2 linked regions of the Cricetulus griseus genome follow. The protein of the gene in region 1 purifies or fractionates together with the protein of each later gene. This does not show direct contact. Links are inferred from orthologs where the notes say so. Each region holds a gene or a part of one and is shown in the gene's direction. Other genes may lie near its edges.

The links.
Region 2: the proteins of Rnf25 (region 1) and Ube2e2 purify together in Homo sapiens (affinity purification with mass spectrometry; 3 studies listed by BioGRID and IntAct, counting the BioPlex papers as one, with this or other methods). This does not show direct contact. The link is inferred for Cricetulus griseus from reciprocal best matches to the Homo sapiens genes RNF25 and UBE2E2.

Annotation. Positions count from the first base shown.
Region 1 is NC_048595.1:427,841,048-427,845,344, reverse strand, and holds the start of Rnf25 (E3 ubiquitin-protein ligase RNF25), read left to right. Parts: upstream 1-1,242; 5' UTR 1,243-1,305; coding exon 1,306-1,346; intron 1,347-3,570; coding exon 3,571-3,645; intron 3,646-3,785; coding exon 3,786-3,999; intron 4,000-4,082; coding exon 4,083-4,150; intron 4,151-4,244; coding exon 4,245-4,297. Other genes in the region: Stk36 (serine/threonine-protein kinase 36), read right to left, coding at 466-549. UniProt on the Homo sapiens protein: E3 ubiquitin-protein ligase that plays a key role in the RNF14-RNF25 translation quality control pathway, a pathway that takes place when a ribosome has stalled during translation, and which promotes ubiquitination and degradation of translation factors on stalled ribosomes.
Region 2 is NW_023276807.1:175,955,809-175,959,622, reverse strand, and holds part of Ube2e2 (ubiquitin-conjugating enzyme E2 E2), read left to right. Parts: intron 1-3,015; coding exon 3,016-3,199; intron 3,200-3,814.

The DNA of each region.
Region 1 (4,297 bases):
TTACTGCCAAATAGAGCCCTTTGATGGATTCTGGGAGAGGTTTTGTGACCTAAGCAAAGGACTCGAGGTGAGATTTAGGGAAAAGAGAAGGAAATGTGAAGATGGAGGAACAGATTTCACAGGTTTATCTATTCTTAGGCAAAACAAAGAACACTGACATTTTTTGTCTTTAGTAGGTGACAGGCATTATACTATGAGTGATTGTGAAACACCTTTAATCCTCAGACCCCATCAATCATCCCCCATTGTACAGTTTTGGGAAACTGAAGCATGGAATGGTTGGGTAGTTTGTCCCTAGTTCTAAGGCTGGAATCTGACTCCAAGTAATCAAATTTCAGGGTCCTCACATCATAGGAAGTATGCTGGAGTCAGAGCCTAGAAATACACACCATGCAACTCTTCTGTCCAAGTTTCTGCTGGTGTAGGGGCACCAAATCCCACTCAAAAGTTATCTTTGTTCACTACCTGAGCACTGTATTTTTTTCGGCCCTTATACACTCTGCCAAAAGAGCCTTCTCCAATCATCTCCAAAACGTGGTACTTTTCCATGGCAAGGGTTTCAGGGTCTCTCAGAAGGTAGAAAGAAGACGGCAACAACGAAGACGGCGGCAACGAGCTATAGATGCAGGAACAGTTCCACACATCTGGGAAGCCTGGCTTGGAACATGGGAGAAAAATAGACATTATCAGCTAAGCCTTTTCTCCTTTTCACAATAAACCAGGCCTCAAAAACAGGATCAGGATGGAAAGATGATCAGGTCTTGGAAACAGAACGTCTGGAGTCACCCATTCAGGCTAGGTGTTCACAGCACACCGCGTCCCTTTTCCCCTCTCCACCAGCGACGCTCACATGCTCCTCCTATAGCTTCCAAGTTAATAACACCTTCGGCTCGCCCCAGCACCGCCGCTCTTGACTCCTGGCGCGAGCCGAGTCCCCCCAACTTTCCCCCCAACCTAGATGCTCCAGGCTTCCCAGGCCGAGGGCTGGCGGTCCGGCCCTCTAACCGGGTCCCCCCCAGCTGCCTGCGTTGCTGTTCTCGTTAGTTTCCCACTCTTACGAGTTTTATTCCCTGGAACCGGTCAGAAGTTTAAAGGACAAAGCTCTCAGAGATGTGTAACAGACACAAACGGCCCATTGGCACTTTGTAGGGCACTTCTGTCGCTTGGCTAGCAGGCCCCACAAAGGACCTAGAGTCTTCAGTTGCCTAGAAACAGCGCCAGCTTTCTTTACCCCGCCCCGCCCTAGTTTTCAGTCTCTAACTTCCCCAAAGGTATTTCCGGTTCCGGCTAAGAGCCGGAGAAGACATGGCGGCGTCTGCGTCGGCAGCTGCCGGGGAAGAGGACTGGTAACTTTGGGTCATAGGTTTTGGCTGGCTGTCTGGATCTGGTGCTGGGAACTAGCAACAGCTTCAAATCGTCCGAACTGCGGGCATGAGGGGTGGATCATGGGGCGAGCGGTGACAGAAACCCTGGCATCCTTTCCTAGGCGGACGAGGGTGGAGGGACGCTGACCTGAGAAGGGACTGACTGGGTCTGCGCCGGCCTGGCCAGTTGGGCCCACGCCTTATCGACCTAATTGCCTCCTGCTACGGCCCTATCCCTCCCACTTCTCCCTGATGTGACTTTCTGGGGCCTGTAGGATGGCTGCTCATCACCCTCTCGCCTCTCGGAACGGACGTCCTCCTCCTCCTCGTGTCCCTCGTGCCCCTAGGATCCTACCCTTTGGCCCAGTCCATTTCTGCCTATGCGTTCCTCTCATTTCCCCCGACAGCACTTATAACTATTGTCAGAAAAGCCTAACTCCCCACATAAGCCCTCCTACTCTCTCGGGCATTCTTAAGAAGAGACCAAAAGCCTTTAAGGACTTTGGGTTTTGAAGATAAAGATGATCTCACTTCATATTTAATTAACTGGATATGATGCTGACCAGACTAGCTAGCTCCTGAGAGCCCGTGTCAGCTGTAAAAAAAAAAAAAAAAAATAGTGGGCGTGGCATTACCTCATAGAGTAGTTGGGAGGATCACTGGGATTTGTAATATACATAAAGGCCTGCTTTTCATTAATTGCTTAAGTGTAAGACCTCAAGAGACTAGATAACCCAAAGGATATCTCTATAAGTTAAGGCCTTCTAATCTTAGTACCCTCTCCCACCCCCTTCAGTGACTTAAGACCTTATCACTCTCCCAGTCTGTATCTTACGTCCACAACCCAGGTCACCTAACGTGTGCAAAATACTGAAGATGTCGTAACTGAGGCTGTACCTCAGTGTTGCTTTGGTTCAGGGAGGCCAGCCAGTAGTTTCCTTTCTAAAGCTATGTAGACTAATGCTCTTTACTATTAGGAAAAATGCTTAAGATTATGAAGGGACACCTGAGTCATGAGAGCGTAGTCGTGATTGCAGTAGTCTGTGTCATCCAGAATGTCGTTTTTATTTGTGAAATAATAAGCTTTATATTTTAAGGTTTCTGTGTAAGGCTTAAGAATGCTAAAAAATAGTCATAATAACCACCACTGATAAAGTTCCTACTGGGTGTGCTCCTTCTATATATCACCTGGGTAGGGCTGTGGACTCAATCACTCATCTTCAGTGTCATTACAATTGTTGTTTGTATGTTTAAATGTGTGCCTTCTGATTTATATCAGGACCACAAACCCTGTACTCGACATGATGTTTGGGTTAACTAGAAATCCAGCGTCATGTGTGTATTCACAGTACTTAGATTATGCCCTTCTCTTTTTTCTTTTGAGGGTGGGGTGAGATCACTTAGACTAGGTACTATGTCTCATACACTTGGGCACTGTATATAAACAATTTTTAAGTCTCACAGTAGCCCTAGTGAATATGTTGTATTATCTCTAAGTGGTAGACAGTGTAACTCAGGCTTCCAAAAATAAGTGACCTGACCATATAGCTGGTAAGTAGTTTCTGCCTACTATCAGCTACAAGGCCTATAGCTCTCCTAATGCAGTATAGCTTTTAGATTACCTAAACCTGTTCATCTTGGCATATCCTTTGAGGATGCTTAGACTGACTAGTGTTGGCAAGGTTATTGGCAGCACCCAGGGTACAGGGAACTGTGCTGAACAGTAGTATAGGCAGGCAGGAGTAGTATTGGTAACCTTGTTAGTAATGAGTTAGTAATGAGTTTAGATAGATAGATAGATAGATAGATAGATAGATAGATAGATAGATAGATAGATAGTCAGGGAGGAGCCACCAAAGGATAATCAGCTGTAGAAACTTGAGCAGGAAGTCAGGGCCTGGCTCTGACTGGTCCTATTCCTCCTCCTGTGTTAAGCCTTGGTCAGTTGTTTCATCTCTCTGGGAATCTGTTTTCTCAGGTTGGCAGAGGTGAACTCTAAAATTCTAATTCCCATTCTTTCTACCTGGCCAATTGACAATTTAAAGAAATATTTCCCTATTTTACCAAATAATTTACCAAATACCAAATAATGTATTGAGGTAGGTTTTTGTTGTTGTTGTTGTTTTTTAAGTGAGTCTTCATCAGCCTTGGCAGGCTTCAGCAGGGAAAACTGTATTAGTGACTCAGTCTCCCCCTTACTCTCCAGGGTCCTTCCCTCTGAAGTTGAAGTATTAGAGTCTATCTATCTGGATGAACTACAGGTGATGAAAGGAAATGGCAGGTGCGTATTCAATTGGGGGTGGGCAGGAGTCTTCGTAGTGAGATGATTCTGCACAGAATCTGGGCTTAGGGTACTGTGAGCCTTGACTCGGAGGTGATGTTTGTCATAAACACTATTCCCTTAATTCTCCCCCTGAAAAGAACAAGTCCAGTGAGCATCCCTCTACCTGCTTTACTGTCTCACCCCACTCCTCCCGAGCTTTCAAGCCCCTGCCCAGTCACACCCTGCGTCTTCACTTCATCCACCTGCAGATCTTCACCCTGGGAGATTTTTATCACTCTGCACCCGGCCACCGCAGAGGTCCAAGATTCGCAGTTTGTCTGTTTTACTCTGGTGCTTCAGGTCCCAGTACAGGTGAGGCCTCTGCATGAATGTGAAGGGAAGAAGGGGAGAGTCCCTCGAGTGGGTCACTTTAATATGTTGCTTTTCTGCACTAGTATCCCCATGAGGTGCCACAGATCTCCATCCGTAACCCCCGAGGGCTTTCAGATGAGCAGATCCACAAGTAAGTTGGGCTAGTTGGGAGAGGAAGACTCAGAATTCAGTTCTACATGCTGAAGGAAGGAAGTTTTAATATTGGCTTCATTATTTTTTCCCAGGATCTCACAGGCACTGGGCCATGTGGCCAAGGAGGGACTAGGCACAGCCATGC
Region 2 (3,814 bases), on another chromosome or scaffold:
TTCAGTAGTTATATAGTTGACATATTATTAGGTGTATGTAAATGTACTTAATACTGAACCGAGTGTGTGGTTTTATGACTAACTCAGTACATAGCCATGACTTGACATAGCAGTCATAGCAGTGGCTTCAGTGTAAGGTAACTATTTTTCTGTGGCTCTTGTGTTTGCCATGTGGTGTGATAGATTGCCTGAGGTTTAGGATACATAAAACAATTTTTCACTCTTTCACATCTCTTTACATTTTTTTTCCAGCAGCATTTTGCTCCTAGAACATCTAACCCTAAGAGTGCTTCTTTTTCTTTCCCTGTATATATGCTCTATCTAGCATCTATAGTGTACATACTTACAAGTTTTTTTTAACTTTTTGTAGATTTGAACTCAAAGAAGCAAGCTGAAAAAGAATACAAATATTAAACCCAATAATAATAAGCTTAAAGTCAAATAAAAATGGAAGAAAACCCAAGAAATATACTCAGACTTGTAGAGCTAGGTGTGAAACATACTGATATAAAATTTCAGTATTCTATTAAGTGACTTTATTGCTCATAAAATGTGTCATAGCTACGGAGAATGATGGTCTCCATTTACAGAAGGTAGGGGAGCAGTCTGGTTTCCTGTGAGTGTTTGAGAGCTGTTTGGACAAAGGAACTATTAGGGCTGGGGGTGGTGATGCTATATGTGGTGTCTTTTGATGCTTCATCTCTGTGCTTCCTGACTCTTCCAGTCCTTTGCTGTGTTTATTGTCTTATAAAAAAAAGTTTGTCCTATAAAACTTTCAGTCTGCTAAAGGCCTGTGTTAAGAAGCCACCATGTCTTTGAGCAAACTCTACGTTGAACTGAGGATGATGAATGTTGATTAGTTATTGGGTCATACCTTTGGACTAGGTAATGATAGTAATGCATTGTGTTTTAAGTGAGGCTTTTGTTTTTGTGTGCACCGAAGCATACTTTTGACCATATCAGGAACAGTTTTATTTCAAAGTCTTAATTTAAGAGTAACCGAAAAGAGTCTTTTTCAAGAGGAATTTAGATAAATCTCTCTCTCTCTCTCTCTCTCTCTCTCTCTCTCTCTCTCTCTCTCTCTCTCTCTCTCTCTCTCCCTCTCTCTCTCCCTCCTCTCTTCTCTTCTCTCTCTCTCTCTCTCCTCTCTCTCTCTCTCTCTCTCTCTCTCTCTCTGTGTGTGTGTGTGTGTGTGTGTGTGTGTGTTTTGATGATGATGGTAGTGGTGATGGTGATGACAATAGTCACAGGCAGTCTTGTTTTTTTTCAGAGACGTATATCTGAGCCTTAGCTACATGATACTCAGAATGGTTACTGGTGGCTTGAAGCCCTGTAGAATCTGGATATGGGTTTTGTCAGTTCAGTTCTGAGTCTGTCACTTTGCTGGGTCAGACAGGATGTGATAGTAAGGATCAAACTGGGGCTGATTATGATGGAATGAGATTGGAGAAGGGATATCCTCTTCACTCAGTGCATTTTTGTGTCTGCTATCTAGGTTATAACGGCTACCTAGGTATCAAGGTATTGAGGAAATTGAGTTGGTAATCGGAGCTGCTCCAGGAGCATGAACCCAGAGCAAAGTGAATTTCCAACCTCCAGGGCTATTTCCTCCAGACTGGGGAAAAAAATGAATCCATCAGTGTCTCAGTACAGTCTCTATCTCTTGTGAAACATGGTTGCTTAGTGGAGCTGGGTCAGTGCCCATACTCTCCTAAGCCTCAGTTCTTGTTTGGAATCACGTGGCCTCTGTTCCGTTATCACAAAGGTTACTTAAAACAATTTCCCAGCTTAGAGGATTTTAACCTTGGCTCAGCTCTGAGGATGTATCGATTGGATGTGAGCGTGGCAGTGCCCCTGTTTCTCAGCCCTGGGCCTTTTTGTGATGACTTGCCAGGACACTTTGCAGGTCTGTTTACCTGTCCAGACTTCTCATAACTGAGCCCAGAGTGCTTAGCCCAAAGCCTGAAAAAATTAGGCTCTCAATCCTTCTTTCTCTCTCATTTTAAAAGATTTATTTATTTTTATTTTCTGTGTATGATTGTTTTATTTGCATGTATGTCTGTGCACCACATATGTGTCTGGTGTCCAGCGAGGTCAGAGAGGGTGTCATCCCTTGGAGCTGGAGTTACAGCCCATTGTGAGCCACCTTGAGGGAGCTGGGAATGGAGCCCAGGTTCTGTGCAAGAGCAGCCAGTGTTCTTAACTGCTGAGCCAACTCTCAAGTCTCTTCTGGTTTGTCTTATGCCAGTTCTTTTGAGATGTAATTTACCTTATAAAGTTAGCCTCCTTCATTTTTTGTATATACTGGAGCTTGAACTCTGCTGAACTTGCACTCTGCCCAAACTATACCTCCACCATCTTAAAATGTGCAGCTTAGCCTGGGGATTGTCAGTAGCTCAGGAGTAGAGCACTTGCTTTACACAATGGGACACTGGTTACTGTCCTCAGAACTACAGAAACAAAGCATAGCCACGCTGAGGCTTTTCTGCTCTGACCTCCACTTAAGAGCATTATCACTCACAGGAAAGTTTCTGCTCAGTAAAAGTCACTTCCCTTTTCTCTGTCTCTATGTTCCCATGGATTTTACTGTCTAGATATTTCTTACAAATGAGCTTGTGCAGTCTGTGGTCCTTGTGGCTGTACTGGCTTCTCTCAGTTAGATTCAGGGTCTTCCTGCTGAAGCATGAAGATACCGGACTTCATTCCTTTTTGTGGCTTAGGTATATTGTCATGTGGATGAACCACGTGTTACCCACTAGGTGGAGAACATTTGAATTGTTTCCACTTTTTGTCTTGTGAATAAAAGTGCTACCAATATTTGTGTCTACATTTTACATAAATTCGTAGAAGAAAACCTTTGGCAACCCCCAGAGTTATTTGTTTTGTAATTAGGCAACTCCCATTTTTATACCTAATTTTACTTTTGTTTTGTAGTCTCATTTTCTCTCCATTCTTGATGTACCTTGTTGTAGTCCCTCCCACAGCAGACTAAATGATGTTTCATCTTTAATCCAGGATCTAAAATGTCCACTGAGGCACAGAGAGTTGACGACAGTCCAAGCACTAGTGGAGGAAGTTCCGATGGAGATCAACGGGAGAGTGTTCAGCAAGAACCTGAGCGAGAGCAAGTTCAGCCCAAGAAAAAGGAGGGGAAGCTATCCAGCAAGACAGCTGCCAAACTGTCAACCAGTGCCAAAAGGTAACCAGCTGCTGGCAGCTCTGGATTTGCTTTCAAGTTATCACCTTAAACTCATATTTTCCCTTGTATTTAGTCATTTTTCCGGGATGAAGGTTATAGAGTTTACAGGTTCCCCCCCTTAATATAATTTTTAAAATGTGTTTTTAATTGTGAAAAACTCTTAAAAGCCAATTCAGAGTCATGACATATTATAAAATCTGTACTTGTAGTGCATTGATATATTTCTATCTTGTTAGAAAAACATGAGCAGGACATTATAAAAGTATAATTTGATTTATGGTTATTTGATCATGAATATACTTTTCTATTCAGTAACACAGAATAGACACTGAGAATCTCTTGACTAGGTCTGGGAGTGGGGAGATGGCTCAGTGGGCAAAGTGCTTGCTGCTGAGTCTGGATTAACATCATCCATATAAAAACTGGGCATTATGGCACATATCTGTAACCACAGTGCTGTGAGTAGGGGGTGGGAGAGTGGAGTGTGTGTGTGTGTGTGTGTGTGTGTGTGTGTGTGTGTGTGTGTGTGTGTTGGACACAGGTGGATCTCTGTAACTCACTGGCCATCAAGTCTTTTCCAGTCAGTGAGCTCCAGGTTTAGTGAAGAGATCCTAT